2 linked regions of the Tamandua tetradactyla genome follow. The protein of the gene in region 2 binds, or shares a complex with, the protein of the main gene of each other region. Links are inferred from orthologs where the notes say so. Each region holds a gene or a part of one and is shown on either strand. Other genes may lie near its edges. The genes, in order: DKC1 and NHP2.

The links.
Region 1: NHP2 (region 2) and DKC1 share a complex: the UniProt entries of both Homo sapiens proteins name them as parts of the H/ACA small nucleolar ribonucleoprotein (H/ACA snoRNP) complex. The link is inferred for Tamandua tetradactyla from reciprocal best matches to the Homo sapiens genes NHP2 and DKC1.

Annotation. Positions count from the first base shown.
Region 1 is NC_135353.1:1,660,295-1,669,218, forward strand, and holds the start of DKC1 (H/ACA ribonucleoprotein complex subunit DKC1), read right to left. Parts: upstream 3,902-8,924; 5' UTR 3,797-3,901; coding exon 3,781-3,796; intron 3,092-3,780; coding exon 3,027-3,091; intron 2,554-3,026; coding exon 2,467-2,553; intron 1,105-2,466; coding exon 1,013-1,104; intron 566-1,012; coding exon 381-565; intron 1-380.
Region 2 is NC_135346.1:59,724,687-59,733,070, forward strand, and holds the start of NHP2 (H/ACA ribonucleoprotein complex subunit 2), read right to left. Parts: upstream 3,633-8,384; 5' UTR 3,554-3,632; coding exon 3,394-3,553; intron 3,311-3,393; coding exon 3,241-3,310; intron 1,093-3,240; coding exon 987-1,092; intron 436-986; coding exon of another isoform or gene 391-435; coding exon 265-390; 3' UTR 1-264. UniProt on the Homo sapiens protein: Required for ribosome biogenesis and telomere maintenance. Part of the H/ACA small nucleolar ribonucleoprotein (H/ACA snoRNP) complex, which catalyzes pseudouridylation of rRNA.

The sequences.
Region 1 (8,924 bases), on a different chromosome or scaffold from region 2:
TAGAAAAGCAGGCAATTTGACCTCATGTTCCTATTTTTTAACTAAAAAATGATTAAATAAAGGCACTTTAGACAGAAGCAGCAGCATGGAGAAAGAGGCTAGAATAAGGCAAAAGGTACTCTCAGAAAGACCTTCTAGAGTTCTGACTTAATGCCAGGAATGTATCTCCCCAGCTTGATGTACATGTGTAGTACCTGGAACTCCAAGAAAGGGCAGACCCATGCAGATCTGGCAAAGAACAGAATGTACACAGAAACCAATAGAACATTTTGCTTTAGGAATATTTTTTCTTAATGAAGAAATAATTCCCAAGAGCCAAAATGAAGCCAGAAAGGGAAACGTAGTAAAGTACTCACCACCTCCCTCCCTCTTGCACATACCTGCACTCTGTTGTGATTTTACCAAGCGAGTGGCTCGTTCTATGCACACAATTAGACAGCCAGTCACCTTGGGATCCAAAGTACCACTGTGTCCTGTCTTCTCAACCCGAAGTATTCGTCGGATCCAGGCTACCACCTCATGGGAAGAGGGGTTGGAGGGTTTGTCGAGGTTAATGAAACCTGTCCTAGAATGGGGAATTAAAAATATATATATATATATCTTATAACAAAACAAAACTTTTTTTTATTAATTAAAAAAAGAAATAACAAAACAATTAGAAATCATTCCATTCTACATGTACAATCAGTAATTCTTAATATCATCACATAGTTGCATATTCATCATTTCTTAGTACATTTGCATCGATTTAGAAAAAGAAATAAAAAGACAACAGAATAAGAATTAAAATGATAATAGAAAGAAAAAGAAAAAAAAAAACCTATACCTCACATGCAGCTTCATTCAGTACAAAACAAAACTTTTGAAGGATAAAATAGAAATCATCACAGGTACACTATATATTAAGGGGAATGCCATTCAAAGGTACAACTACCTACTTAAAGAACTGATATAAAAATAACATTTCTAAAGGAACAAGAGTTCGAACAGTGCTTGCCCCAGATACAGATACCTGATATAGTCCGCAATCTCCCTCTTCAGAGGATTTGAACCAGAAGGAAGAGGTGTATAGTGTGTTGTCCTTACATTCAGCTTATCAAAATTCTAGAAAGCAACAATACAACACAAAATAAACTTCATGGTTCTATAGTTCTTGTTTTGGAACCATTAACACGTATAAAACGGAAAGTCAGCACCAGCAAGCAACCACGATATAACCCTCAAAGTTCATAACTTGAATTTTTGTTCTTTGTTTTTCATCATCTGCCATGGCAGACTGTTAAGCCTTCTTAAATACAGGAAAAATGACCCACGTTAGTAAGAACAAGGTAGAGCTGATAACTCAAAATTTAATATATTGCTCTAGAAAGTGGTCAGTACTCCGTGGGTACAGAACATAGACTGGGCAAACTTATGGATAAAATACAGAGGAACTTTGACCTTCTTGGGAGGTGGGTAGGAATAACCAAATTTAGGATTATTGGCAATAATGTTTCCAGTAATAACCATCCTGTCCCTGCTTCAGATGCTCTTACCTCTGCTCTTCACAGATCACCCTAGCTGAACTACCTGACTCCAATCCAAGCCCATCTTTCACATTATCCAATTTGGTTTCATCATGGTACTTATCACAAATAGAATTATTTCTTGTGTAACTCCCACACCCTCAATTTTAAGTTCCCCAATAGAGGACTGTGCCTATCACCTTCACCAACATATTCTCAGGGGGCCTACAAAAGAGAAGCAGATGTTGTCTAAATAGCAGAAACATCTAGCCAAGCAGAAATTGACTGAACTACCCTATTTAAAACTAATTAATAGACAATACTTTCTACAGGACACACTAGTTGCCAGGCACTGGAGATAAACATATTTCATGCATTACCTCCTGTAATCCTCAGCAAATCTTCCTAAAATAATTATTGTGAGCAGAAGAGATTAAATGACTAGTCCAAGGTCACACAGCCTGACTGACTCATTGCTCTTGTGCTCTTAAATACAAGAGTAATGTTATTCAAAGTGTGGTCCACAAAGTGTTGTAGGTCCTTAAGATGGATTAAGTAGAGAAAGTTACAGGTAAGTATTTAGAAACTGTGATAGGAGTTTAACATTGCTGTGATATTTTAATTATATTCTAGAAGAGTACTCAGTATACTGGAAATTCAAAAAAAAAATCTGGTCCATTATCTTAGATACCTGGAGGAGCACTGCCTTAAACTAAATCGTTTTGCATTCCCTAGAAGTCAAAGAGTAAGCATTTTTGCTTTCAAGAAATGAAACGCAGTGGAGAAGACTGATGGTACAGAAAGTGGTACAGACAGGGGCTCAAGGACACGCAATGGCCACATGGAGAAGATAAAAGTATGTATGAGATCACGGGAAGTAGCCAAGTGTTGGTTTCGTAACATACTTATACCTTTATTTTGCTGTGTAACAAAGCCCATATGCCTGATCTTGACCACGTACCTTCAACAGCAGGGGCCACTGAGATGTGTCCAACTGAGCCACTTTGGATTCAGGTTTGATAAGAAATTCTTCTACGTGTTGAATTTCCTTTGACAGAACAGAAACACACACTGTTACATCTCTCACCTGATCTTTAGAAATTCCATTACTAGTACAGAAGTATACGCCTTTTAAATAGAAAGCAAGGCATTCTATACTTCTTCACTGGGGCCTCCAAGGGAGAAAGAAAGAGAAGAAGCAGAAACTCCGAAAAAGAAATGAAGTATCACTAAGATAGGTCCAAATGTTTAAAGAAAACAGGAGATGAAGGGTGTGTGGGTGGAGTTGGGAAGAAAGAGTGATAGGGAGATAATCTGGTATAGCCAACTGCAGTTAGTAAACCAGCATGAAACTTAGGGTGGCTAAGGGGGGGGGGGGCATTCTCATTTTCAGTCCCTTGGGATTTCTATGCAAAGAGCATCCAATTCTGGCCCATCTCTTAGATATTTGAAAAACAGTTCTTGAGTTTGTTAGTTAAGTAAAATTTTAGTTTAACCAAAATAACACATATTCCTACTCACAGCTACATCTTCTGGTGCTGACTTTCGGTCCTTCTTCTTCTTATGCTTCTTTGGCAAAATAACTACTAAAAAAGATACACGAGATTTGGAAGTTTCCCCCGAAAATAAAGACATCCAAGTTTAAAACGAAAAAGTGGAAATCGGGGCAGGCGAATACAGATTTTCCATCTAAGAGTAGTGCTGAGGACAAAAGCTATACCATGGTACTCCGCATGGGTTGGTAACTAGCTGGCGGCTGTCGCACGTGTTGGGGCCCCTTCCGGGTCACCACGTGGCCATGGCGGGGCTTAAAAATCGCAGAGGAGCGCTCGCTGTCCCGAAACTTCCAAAGCGTCCATTGGGCTAGCCCTGCCAGCTTGTAGTCTCGGGGACTTTCTTGCACCTGGGAGCTGGCCTCGCGCCCAAAGCCCTCCGGCCCCTTTCTTCCCCACCCGTCCACCCCCCTCCAGCCCGCATCCCGCGGCGCCCGAACCTGGGTGCGGCCAGCACATCTTCTGTTTGCAACCAAGTGCCCTAAGGAGGTCTTCCCGTTAGCGGGGGGCCCGGGCCCCGCAGGGTCACGTCACCGAAAGGGCCTCTAGGTCCTGCGCTCTCCCCGCAGGTGAAGCAACGTGCGGAGCGGGAGGCGAGGCCCGCAAGAGGCCCGGGAGTGGGTCCCCGGCAGTGAGTCACCGACGCCGCTCCCCCGGCTCTCCGAGTCCGCAGAGTTCCCTCTGACCCCGGAGACCCCGGCCCGGCCGTCCGCAGCCCTTACCTTCGGCGTCCGCCATGTTTCCCCGCACAACGTGCGCGCCGCCCGGGCTATCGCGGAGGTAACGACCGCCGAGTCCCGCCGACCGGGTCTCGTCAGTCCGCGCCGACAGGGCCCACCCACCCGCGCGCCGTCCCTTACGTGCAGCGCCGAGGGGCGGGGCGGGGCCCTGGACGCGTGCAGACCGCCTGAGCGGTCCCATTGGCCAATTCGGCCCCTGCGGGCGGCGCGTGCGCGCGGGCGCCTCGGGCCTCGCCCCTCCTTCCACGGCCCGGGCCGGGGGGCGCTTAGGGAGGCGCGCCCGGGGCGGCCCGGAGCCTGTGGGCTCGACCTCTGCGCCCCCCTCGCTCGGTCCAGCCCGCGCGGCCGCCCCTGGGCTGTGTGCGAGACGCTCTGTCAATATTACCTCACCGCTTCCTCGGGCCCACAGCCCCCGTTACAAAATAAGGAAATAAGCAGAGAGGCGGTGAGGCCCCCGCGCCTCACTTGACCGTCGGCCCCGAGCGGCGCTGAAGAGAATGCGAGCCGCGTGGGGGCCCGGGAACAGAAACAAGTGACAGTCATTTTAATAATGCGTCGCACTTAACCCAGTGTATCCGGAATATTACCACTTCAGCGTGTAGTCGGTGCGAAACATTAGAATAAGGTATTTTACATCCTTTATTTTCTTCCCCCGTATCAAGTCTTCGAATCCCTTACGGCACCCCCTTAATTCGGACCAGGCCCGTAGCGGGTGGTCTCGGTGTACTGCGAGGGGTGCTGTGTCAAAGCCACAAGCTGCTAAACTCAGCTGTCCACCTATCCTGCCCGCACCCTAGCACCCTGCTGCGGAAGCTACAAGTCCCGTCGCGCAGACAGTCTCAGGCGGCAGCCCAGCCCTCAGCGCTACCTGGCGCTCCTGCTGACGCCGCACTCTCCCATGAGGCGCTCCTCACCTGTTCCTCCAACCGCCAACACACCTGGCACTCAACTGATGATGACCTGGCTCTATTAAGAACGAAAGCAATCACAAGAGGATCTCCACGCAGGCTTTTCTACCATATCTATCTAACAACCCACCCACCAGTTACCAAAGATATTTTGCCTTTCCTCCCTTATCCCTGAATGAATGAAACACCCATGCCCTTAACTCAGGCCAGCCCCTCCATTTCACCCAGATCCCAAGCCCTTTTGCTTACTCAGTACATTGCTCCAGCAATTCCCCTTTCTGTTTCCCGTATCATCAACTTCTGCCTCTCTACCAAAGTGGGGTTACATTACCTGGGGAGGTGACCTCGCTCCCCCCACCCCACCCCCAGCCAAGCTGTCGAAAGTTTACAGTATTAGGAGGAGTCTGTGGAGGGGATGTAGTTTGGAGTTGCTGGAGAGTCTAGCGATTAGGATGAAAAGGTGAGAGGTTATGCTGTAAGAACACAATCCTAGAGAATGATCTCTTAGTTAGAGCCTGTTCAAAAATGTACCTCCACCCTCCCGCCCTGCGGGCATGAGTTAAAGATTGCTGCCATCACAGGGGCCTGTGGTTCAGAGATCGCAAGTTCAAGATAATATTGCATTCCACCAAGTGGAGAGCAGGTGAACTGCCAGAGGCACTAAGTCCTCAGCAGGGAACTTATAGGGGTTAAGGCAGGGCCCACATGGACCCGGCCAGAAATGCAATGGAGCTCTTGTCCTTGTCCTTGTCCGGATGGTTATCTGCCTGCTAGAGGGGTTGATCTTATCCAATAATCAACATTTCCATTCTCACTCAGCAGCTTCAGAGCTGCCTCTTCTGTGACTTACACACTCTGGAGCTGCAGGAAGGGGGTTTCCCAACTCATGGGCCCCTGGACTAAGGGTGTAATCTACCCATGCAGGTGGGTAGTTAGTGGTGGTGAAGCCCTTCCATCTCTGGTTCACCTGGCTTCATTTTAGGAGCTTGGGGGACAAGTTACAAGCAGGGACACCTACAGGTCCTTTTTTTCCCTCAGTTCTTCACAGCCTTCACTTCCACTGCTGTCGCTAGGGAGCACCTTGCCTCAACTGCTTGTCATGGGAACACAGGTTCAGGGCCTAAGAGAAACTTTCAGCAAATGATCCCTTTATTACTTGCACAGAATAAAGAGTCCAGAAAGGGTGAATAGTCTCCTTGTTTTCACAGCACAAAGAGTCTATGAGCAGGGGAAGAAGTCCCCTCACAGCCAGTCCCCTCTGGGTGGCCAAAAGCTGTTCCAGGTAGGTGTTGACAGATGGCTGTCCCACATGCCCCACTTCATGCCAGAGAAGAGAGACCCACTTGTACTGTTTGAATGTGGGTTTTATTCACCTCAGGAGGAGGGGGCTTGCCACTGAGAATTCCTATTCTGACGGGCATCTGGAGCTGCTGGTTCCCAGTTTCTGGGTGTTAAGTCTGACTAGGTTCTAGAATGTCACACAGTGAAAAAGGAAGTGGAGGGAGCAGAAGCCCATAGGTACAATGGCTACTTAAAGTGTGTTCCTGACTTTCCCAGAGAGGGAGGTGAGGATAGGTGAGGCTGGGGCTGAGGTCACTTAACAGGTATCAGTGACTTCCCTAACAACCCCCTGCAGATGGAGATGGCTGCTTCCAGCAACATTTTACATGTCCATTGGTCCCTTTGGACACTTGCTTCCCTTGGCTTCCAGGACATCCTACTCTCTTGGTTCCCCTTTGACCTCACTGGCCACTCCATCTCAAGCACCTTCCCTGACTCCTCCTTGTCACCCCAAGCGTTTAATGTCAGAGTGCACCAAGGCTTATTCCTTGGCCCTTTCCTTTAGCTGTACCTTGCTGTGTTGGTGATCTCATCGAGGCCCATGTCTTTAAATGGCAATGACTCACCAAATCAGATCCCCAGCCCAGACCTCTTCCCTAATCTCCAAACGTGTCTATTTGGCCTCTTGTTCAATATCTTCATCTGGATATCTAAAAGGCACCTCAAACATGAAGTGTCCGTAACTGGGCTCCTGATACTCTACCCAAACCTAGTTCTCCTCTGGGTTTCTTCATCTCAGTAAGTAGTAGCTCCATTCTTGCAGTTGCACAGACAAAATAGTGTCAGAGTCATCCTCCATTCCTCTCTTTGTTGCACACTCCTCATTCAGTCTGTTAGCAAGCCCAGAATCAGACCGCTTTTCACCACCCTCGCTGCTGTCACTAAGGCCCCTGCTGACATTGTGGCTCTCTGAGATTTTTCCAGTGGCCTCCTGACAGGTCCCCCCATTTCTGCCTTTCCAACCTACTGTGTCTTCTCAATGCAGCAGCCCAAAAGAGTCAATAAACTTAAGTCATATTCTTCCTCTGCTCAAAGCTCCACATTTCACCAAGAGTAAAAGTCAAAGTCCCAATAATAGCTGACAGAATGTGCCCCCAGTTCTCTTTCTGAATTCAGGTCTGGCTACTCGTACCCCCACGTTGGTCTTTTGGCTGTTCATGTCTATTCCAGGCACACTCCCCACTTTCTGGGCTTTTGTACCTGCTCTTCTTTCTGCCTTGCATGCCCTGCCACCAGATATTCACATTCCTCTAACCCCCACCCCACCCCAATATCTAAAGACCTATGACTACAATTCATCTCTACATTCACTAAGGGAACAATTACAAAGACAAATGTAGTAGGAGTAAGCCTGCATATCAAAAGAGTAGTAGAATACTAATATGTAACAGGAAATATCTAGACAATATTAATGCAATTGTAATTTGAAAGTGTTTGACCCACCAGGAAAAAATGGAATTTTATAGGAGGGTCAGGATCTACAGTGGAGGTTTATGTAGAGGTGATGCCTAGACCAAGAAGCCTGCAAGGGAATTATCCCAGACATTTCACAGCGATGGATAGGTTTAAGTGATGACAAACAATTAGTACCTGATTTGTTAGTAACATGCTGTAGGCTAGTAGATTCCCAGTCCAGATTATTAATAGGATTCTGATTGTCTTTTCACCACATCTGGCCAGACAACCAAAACAAAAGTCCTACACTTCTCTGAGAATTATCACATGGGAGGCTTTACTTACAGTACTAAGTCCAGAGTCAGTTAGAAATGTTTCATTTGCAAGTGAAAGAAACTGACTCTTGCTGTCTTAACGGTATATGTATATATGCGGGGGAGGGTTGGAGAGAATGAGAATGAGCATGTGAATGGATGAGTGAACATTGAAGGTTAGCCTCAAAATTGCTTATGGCTCATCACTTACTCCTTTCTTCCACACCACTGTTTTAGTTTGCTAGGCTACTCAAAGCAGATGCCATGAGATGGATTGATTTAATTAACAGGAATTTATTAGCTCACAGCTTGAGATGAAGAAAATGTACAAATCAAGGCATGATCAAAGCAATGCTTTCTTCCCAAACACTGGCTGCCAGCAATCCTTGGCTCCTCTGCCACATGACAAGGGACAGGGCGGCATCTGCTGGTCTCTCCCTTCTCTTCAGGGTTTCATTACTTTCAGCTTCCTGTTTCTATATCATTCCATTTATAAAGGACTCCAATAAGAGGATTAAGATCCATCCTGAATGAGGTGGGTCACACCTAACTAAAGTAGCCTGATCAAAGGATCCTACGTACAATGGGTTCAACCAGAGAAATAGATTAGATTTAAGAACATCTCTTTCTGGGGTACATACAGCTTCAAAGCACATAACCACCAAACAAAGATATATCATTATATGAGACTTTAGTGAAGGACTGGGGCGATAAAAACAGAAAATTACTTTTTTTTTGTTTTTTTGCATGGGCAGGCACCAGGAATCGAACCCGGGTCTCCAGCGTGGCAGGCAAGAATTCTTTCACTGAGCCACCATCACACCGCCCAGAAAATTACATTTTTTTAAAGAAGTAAATTTAAAACAATACCTTCAAATATGCTTTCCCTGTAAAATCGTCATATAGTGTCCCTTAATAGATGCCTTTTAGTTCCTCACCTGCTCTTCTGCCCTCAGGTTCTATAGGGCTATGACTGTTCTTTACAATGTTTCACTGGTCACACATGGTAAGCTCTGTTAGTTGGTGACCCAACAGCCATTTCTTTCCCTTTCTCCCTTTCTAGCAGTTACCCATTTTGTGCAGGTTGGCACTAAACCCAGAATCAGGGATGAATCCTAAATGGTTTAGCCCAGTCATGGTAAACCCTTCCTTTTGTCAGATCCTTGCA
Region 2 (8,384 bases):
ACTCACCACATTTTAGTCTTAGCATTTACTTCCCCCACACCAAATTCTTGGAATGGTCTTCATTTAAGCTCAACAGGAAATGGCAGCGATGGAAAAGATGCTGGCTTTTACCTTCATGAATTAGCTGCTGGAGCTGCCTGGGAAGAAAAAATGCCTCAGGGGACTGTGGAAACGCTGTGCATGTGGGCAGCAAAGAGGGCAGCCAGCTGGCCAGCCGCCAGTCCCACCGCTTCCAGAGCAGGTTCACAGGTGGTTGCCCGAGTCTCACAGGGGCGGGGGCAGGGCCTGGACCTCCTCGAGGCACTCATCGTAGGCCTCCTGGTAGTCCTCGTGGGGCTTGACCATGATCACACAGGTGGGGCGCTTGGAGCCAGCGGCCGCCCCCAGGTCCTACAGAGAACGGGGAGAGAAAGGCTGGGGGAAATGCCGCACAGCCTGTACACCAGAAGTCACAACTGATGACCCCAGGCCTAATATGGCCCAAATTGTCCTACTGGGTCCGTATTATGCTCAAAAGCATTTTGAATTGGTTGCCACTTTTTAAACTCAGCAAATTTTCAAGTCACATCTCCATAGGGCAGAGCCTATGTTCTCCAGTCCCCACCACCCCTAACTCTGCGGCACTCCAGCTCTGGCCCTGCTACGTAAAGATAAGGACAGCTGCAGCTTCCCAAAATACTGAAACACCTAACAGGGCTCACACTTGTGCCACATTTTAATTTGGAAAGCATACACACTCGAGTCTACTGGTTTTCAGTCTCACAGTCCACACAGGAATAGATTCTGATTTTATGAGGAGGAAACTAAAGTGCAGGAAGGTAACTTATTTTCGGTTCCACAACTAAGCAGCAGCAGAGCCAAGCACTGATCCAGAACTCTCCTGACTCCAGAGCTTGTGTCCTTTTCCACAATAGCCTAGTGCCACAGTCCAGGTCCCAGACCCCCTCCCAGTGCCAACAAACGTTGGAGGGTGCTGTGCTTCTCACCGTCTTGGAGGGAATGTAGACGTAGGGCATATCCCGGTCCTCACACATCACCGGGAGATGGCAGAATACCTCAATGGGCAGTGTGTCTCCTGCCAAAACCATGATCCTGAGAAGAAAGAAAACACTGTCATTTCTAGCCTGCTCTTTTTTCAGCCCTTCAGTGCTGCCTCTGGGTTGGGCCTTGGGGTTACAGCTCAGAATAAAGTGCCTCTGTCCTCAAGGAACCCATAGTCATTAATGGGGATGTCTACAGTCCTCGAAAGTGGGAGAAAAACAGTGTGTTTGGGTGAGTGCATTCTGGGGGAGATGATCTCTATTTTTTAACTACAGATTCAAATGTATCTCTAACCTAAGAAATAGTTTAGGTCTGACCTAAGACCCACTGATTCAGTGGGAGGTGACATGGCAACAAGTAAATGCCACCAAGTGTGACAAGTGGTAAAGTGACAGAGTATGGCAGGGGCACAAAGGAGTAAGTAATTCTCTTTGGAAAGTCAGACAAGGCTTCAGCCAGGGGCCAGCACTTGAACCAAGGCTGAACGAATGAATGGCAGGCAGCTCATGGGGGATGCAGAGTGCGAGGAAGACATTAAGGCGAAGAGAAGCAGAATGGTACGATACAGCATGGAGGCTGCTGGCAGCCTGGATGGCTTTGAAATCCAGGATGGGGATGAGGTGGGCAGTAGCCAAGAATGCTAGACAGCAGGCAGGCGCCATACCAACGGCCTTGAGTGCCAGGACACCACTAAAGGCTTGTCTGAGAATCCTCAGCTAGGGTTCCTAGCTGGCCAGGTTGGGCTCTGGGCCAAGGACCTCCGGAGCCCTGAAGACAGATGAAAGAATCTGTTCTCCAAGGGTGGGTGAAAGGCAGGCAGGAGAGAAGCCCAGCTCAGAGCACTGCTTCAGTGTCCTGTTTGCCTTCTGCTTCTTGGGCTCTGTTCCTCTGCAGGATTCTCTTCCTTTAAGTACCTTTGAAATGTTGGTAATCCTCACAGCCTGGTCTCCGACTGCCCTGTGTCACTTAACACCTTCTCCCTGGCCGACGTGATCCTCAGCCATGGCATCAGTGCCATCTATGTACTGACAACCCCCAAATCTGTTTTCTCCAGACCAGCTGTCACTCCCATATAACCAATCCCATATAACAATCTGCCTACTGTCTCAAAGGCACCGCAAAAACTTGTCTAAAACCAAACACTATCTCCTCACTCTTCATATACTAAAGTTATTTCAAATCCATCTACCTGAATTCTCACCATCTGCATCCCATCACCAGCCTAATCAAAATCACCCTTACCTTTTCTGGATTGAAGTAGCCTCCAGTTTTCTCACATCTATTCCTGCCTCTCTAATTTTTTCTTTTCTCAGTTGCCAGGAAAATCTTGAACTGTAAACATACTTAGGGTACTACCTAGCTGTACCACTTTAATGGTCCACCTAATGCACAGAGTACAAGAACCAAATTCCTGACTGTGGCTTACAGGGACTCATGAGAAGATAGGACCTCTGCCCACCTCAGCTCTCTCCTGCCCTAGACTTTTATACAGAATCCTCTTCTGCTGGAACAACCCTCCCACCACTGGTTAATCCCCGTCCTCAGATCTCAGCTCAAATGTGAATTGTCAGGGAAACTCGCTGATGCACCTATCTCAACCCCAAGTAGGGCAGATTCCTATCTGAACATCACCCCCTCCCCCCCCCCCCCCCACACACACACAGCATTTTATCTTGGGCATCTATTGGGTCAGACACTGGGGATAAAGAGGCCCTGGTTTCAAGGGGCCTGCAGTCCTATGTGGGAAGGAAGGGAATGAAAATGTAAATAAGTACCACAGGTTCTGATAAATGCCGTAAGATAAGCAGGGCGATGATGTCATTCTCACTGCACCCTGTACGTTTCCTTCACGGTTATCACAATTTGTAATTACTTTTGTGCATGCGATTATTCGATCAGTGTTTCATCCCCACAGTCAGGTGCCAGACAAGAAAAGGATGCCCAATAAATAGTCGCCGAATGAATGAAGCTGGGGTCTACTCTGAGTCCGTGTCAACAACGGGCTTCCCTCCGGAGTCCACTGTCCCTTTGAGCTCGTATAAGTGATTATCGGAATCTGTACTGCAGGGGATTCGTCGGCTGCTTTATCTTCTGCATATGGGGCTGAGTCAGAACCGATTTAGGAATATCCTTCTATTAAGCCGTAAGGGTTTCCCTCTATCTAGACTTGACAAATCCGGCGGGGAGGGGAATCCTTACCCTTTTTCGCCTTTGTTGATAAATTTCTGAACCTCCTTTACCCCGCGCCGAATCTGCTTCTGCTTCACGGCTGTAATGACAGGGCGGTTCAGCCAGGAGCTCTCGCCCCGCCAGACTCGCTCGCGTCCCGGCCGGACCCCGACCCCGGCATACCTTTCTTTATGCATTTGTAGAGCTTCCGCGTGAGTCGGCGAGAAGCCAGGGGCTGCGCGATGGGGTTCAGGTTGACCAGCAGCTCATGGTAGGTGCGCTCCCCGGCGCACGCCTCGGCTTGAGCCTCCGGCCGGTCGGGATCCGGCTTTATTTTGGTCATGGCAGCGGCCGGGGCACTCGCCCAGTCCGGGTAGTCGGGAGGCGAATCCACGCGGCGGGCCGCTAAAGGAATCACTTCCGGGTCAGCCCGCGGTGCGCGAGGCCGGCAGGCCACGACAACCAATCGGAAGCGAGCACCTCCGACGCAGGCCAATCGCTGACGCTCAGTGGCGGAGCTAGGGCAGCGGCTGGAGTCTTGGCGGGGAGGCGGGCCGGGCCGGCGTCCTATGGGACAGGAGGGAAAGGGACCGCGGCTTCCGCCGTCCTGAGAGTTCCCGCGTCGCGGCTACGGTGGCCGAAGGAAGCGGCCGTTCCTGTGGGGGCGTGGCTACGACCGGGGGGCGGCCCTGGCGGAAGAACAGGCTCCCCAACGGCCCTGGGAGGTGCGCCCCAGGTGCTGGACGTTAGGGCCGAAGACCGACGCTGCTAACGCGTTCTTCCGTTTTGGCATCATTTCTCCTACGTGCTCCCTCTCTGAGGAACCCGGATGCACAGCTCCGGAAGAACCCAGAGCAAGGGATCACTGGCGCCTAGGTCTGGAGCTCTTTCCTCCAGAGCGCGCCGCGGCTCGCCCGTTCTCTTCCAGCACCTTCTGCCCACGTATTTCCCCGTGGGAGAGGCTCCCGTCTGAGCCCGTTATCTAAAACTGCAGCCCCCCACCAGCATCCCCCAGCCCTGTATGTTCCTCCTGGTTCTTACCACTGCCTGCCTTTACCCAGGAGTGGGGCTGAGACCGAGTTGGGGCTGATGGGGAAGGCAGCTGACGTGCAGCCTTGGCCCCTGGGAGCGAAACGCACGCGAGGCTAACATAGGGTAAGGGAGGCAGATCTGAGAAGACAGACCAGTTCGGATGTAGCTGTGGAGAACTGTGGATCGCGATGCCAAGGGTGGATCTCGTCATCACTGATAAATCTCTTTGATCTTGTGGAATGCTAGATGGCTATTAACTGATGCAAAGTAATTGCCTTTGCTTATGCGGTGTAGGTCCTTCATTTGTGTGGTGCAATAAGGGGTCAGGAAGCACAACTTTAGAAGTGGGTGGGTGGCAGTGGGGGTGGCGGGTTATTTAAGCCAACGTGTCCAATTTAAAGATGGACTTTTTCATTTTCTTCGCTTTGAAATTGCATGAGAAGAGAGGCCTCTCCCAGAGCTTTAGAAACACTGAGTTACTGCCAACTTTCACCTTACTAGAGACGATTTTGCAGTACCATTTCTCATCCCAAACCCTCCCCTGTCCTCCTACCTCCTATGTGGCAGCAATTCTGATCCTCCCTGGGCAACTCTTTCCAGTGGAATGCAGGGCCTGAGACCAGCCTTGTGGCAGGGCTCCATGGAGTGGTTTTCTATTACCATTTCCCAGGATAAACTGCATAGCGGTTTTCTGTTCGTGTTTCGAAGGGATTTTCTTGTACACAATTTGAGCCTTGTAGATCTGGTGTGAAAATGTACCATGGTCACAAAGGTGATAAGTGCTGCCAAGTGTGCACACAGGGTGTTCTAGTTTGCTAGCTGCCAGAATGCAACACACCAGAAACGGAACGGCTTTTAAAAGGGGGGATTTAGTGAGTTGCTAGTTTATAGTTCTAAGGCCGAAAAAATGTCCCAATTAAACCAAGTCTATAGAAATGTCCAATCAAAGGCATCTGGGGAAAGATACCTTGGTTCAAGAAGGCCAATGAAGTTCAGGGTTTGTCTCTCATCTGGAAAGGCACATGGCGAACACAGTCAGGGCTTCTCTCTCAGCTGGAAGGGCACATGGCGAATATGGCGTCATCTGCCAGCTTTCTCTCCTGGCTTCCTATTTCATGAAGCTCCCCGGGAGGTGTCTTCCTTCTTCATCTCCAAAGGTCACTGGCTCGTGGACTCTCTACTTCGTGGTGCTGCAGCATTCTCTGCTCTCTCTGAATCTCTCATTCTCTGAAATATTTCCTTTTTTATAGGACTCCAATAAACCAGTCAAGACCCACCCAAATGGGTGGAGACATGTCATCCCTTAATCCAGTTTAACAACCACTCTTGACTAAATCACATCAACCAGGGAGATGATCCAATCACAGTTTCAAACATACAGTGTTGAATAGAGATTATTCTACCTTATGAAATTAGACTTATATTAAAACATGGCTTTTCTTAGGGGGCACACTTCCTTTCAAACCAGCACACAGGGCATGATATGGACTGTTTGTCCAGTGACGTGATAGAGAAATCCATCCCTGAGAAACCCAATTCAAACAAATACTGTTGAGTCCTTGGCCTCTTCGGCTGTGAGGACCATTCAGGTCTTATAGGGAAGGAGGAATGAAATTAACATTTTGTGCCAAGGGCATTACATAAAATAGCTCATTCAATGCTCATGAAAACTACCATTATTATTCACGATATACTGAGGCTCAGAGAGGTGAGTCACTAGTTCCAGCTCACACAAAGCTGAACTTGATACAGCCAGGAGGCTGTTCTGAGGGCTACTCTTAACACAAGCTTCCCAAATCCCAACCACTCCTATTAACCCTAAAGAATACTAGAACACTATCTGAAATTCTACAAAAGTTTCATGCACTAAAATTGCTTTCCAGATACCTATAACCTTCAGATGGGTTCCTAGGCCAGGTAAATTCTGAAACCCAGAGGGGCCAGCCCCTCCAAGAACATTAAATAGTTCCATCCCTCTATCCATTCCATCCCCCTTTCCAACATGAAAAAGTTAGAATGGGCATAACCCAAATACCCCTAAAGATTGAGAGAAGAATCAAAGGAGGAGGAGTTATAACAGAGAAAATAGGATTTAACAAATGAGTATGATTGCTGAATCATTATATCAATATTTCTTTTAGTCTCCCATGTCTTGGAGAAGCTGGAAGAAAATCCTAATATTGTGGAATGGTAACCCATACTAAACTGAAATCTGTTTTATAACTTGTATATAATGTACTTTGAAATTTATTGCTTTTTTGTATCTATGTTATATTTCACACAAAAAAAGTTTTTTTTAAAAAAAGTTGAATTTGAGTCCAAGTCCACCTATTTGAAAGCTCAGATTCTCCCCACCCATGTAAACTGGTGTTTGACTTCAGCTCAAAGGATGTGAAACATGGCTCCACTGTGAAAGTGAAGGACCCTCAACCTGGCTACAAGTGTCACAAGTGTCAGCATCTTAAACCAAGAGACAATGATATACCAAGAACAAATGTCTCCTCAGTAAACCACACTGTGTATTTCTAAAGCCAGCCTCAGTGACCTATGCTGATTCCAAGATGGCTTGTGTAACTTTATCAATTTTATTGTTAAAATGTATTGCTCACTTGAGATTCATAGAACCTGCCACGCAGGAGACCCGGGTTTGATTCCCGGCTTATGCACTTTCCCAAACAAGCAAAGAAAGAAAGAGAAAACAAACAAAAATTCAACAAATGGTGCTGCAATAACGAGATGCACACATGGAAAAAGAATGAAATATGACCCCGGGTATATAGCATACAAAAAAAAAGCCATTGGATCAAAGGGAGAGATGTTTATTTGGCACAAAATTTATATTTTAGGTCATAGTGCATTACCTAATTTAACTTGTCTGGTCAGTTTAGGTGAACACTATAAGTACATGGAATCTTGAGTAGGATGTAAGATTTTGTTGGTTTGTCAGGTTAATGTGATATTCTAATACATTCCAGAGTAATTTGGGCAGTGAATAAGGAAATATTTCCAAAGTCCCCTTCTGGGACTGGGAGGAAAGGAGGAAATATTCAACTTTCCCATTTGGAGAATTTCTGATATTCTTGCAATCAGTGGGGACAACCAAATCAATAGACCAAGCCCTCGATCTTGGGGTTCGCCCCTTTGAAACTTATTCCTGCAAAGGATAGGCTAAGCCTACATAAAATTAGGCCAAAGAGTCATGGGAGAGGCCATTTCTTCTCATGCAATTCCAAAGCAAAAAAAATGAAAAAGCAACAGTAGGTAAAAATTTGCTAGAGAGGTTGAAGAACAGCTGTCAGTAGAAAGAGTCACTGAACTTGAGGATAAGGCAATTGAAGTCATCCTGTCTGAGGAGCAGAAAGAATGAGGAAAAGTGAACAGCTCATGAGGAAGTTGTGGGACACCATCAAGCATACCAATTTATGCGTTTGAAAATCCCAGAAGAAGAAAGGAGAGAAAGGGGCAGAAAGAATATTAAAAAAAATAGTGGCTCAGGGCGGGGCTGCTGTGGCTCAGCAGGCAGAGTTCTCGCCTGCCATGCCAGAGACCCGGGTTTGATTCCCGGTGCCTGCCCATGCAAAAAAAATAAATAAATAAAGAGTGGCTGAAACTTCCCAAATTTAATAAGAAACATGAATATTCATATCCAAGATGCTCAATGAACTCCAAATAGGGATAAGCCCAAATAGACACATACCACATGTAATTAAACAGTCAAATGCCAAAGATAGAGAATTCTGAAAGCTGAGAAAAGCAACTTGTCAAATACAAAGGAGTCTCAATAAAATTAAGTGCTGATCTCTCATGAAAACCATGACAGCAGCAAGGCAGTGGGATGACATATTCAAAGTGCTGAGAGCAAAAAACTGCCAACCAAGAAGTCTATATCTGGCAAAACTGTGTTTCAATAAATAGGGAGAGAAAAAAAATGAGGGAGAGATGAAAACATTCCCAGAGAAACAAAAGCTGAGGGAGTTTGCCGCCACTAGACTGACCCTCTAAAAGCTGCTAATGAGAGCTGGAAGGAAAGAACAATGGATCAATAGATCACAGCACAGGAAGAAATAAAGATCTGCAGTGAAGGTAATGACATGGGTAAGTAGAAATGCCACTACTGTTGATTTTAGGTTAGTAACTTCACC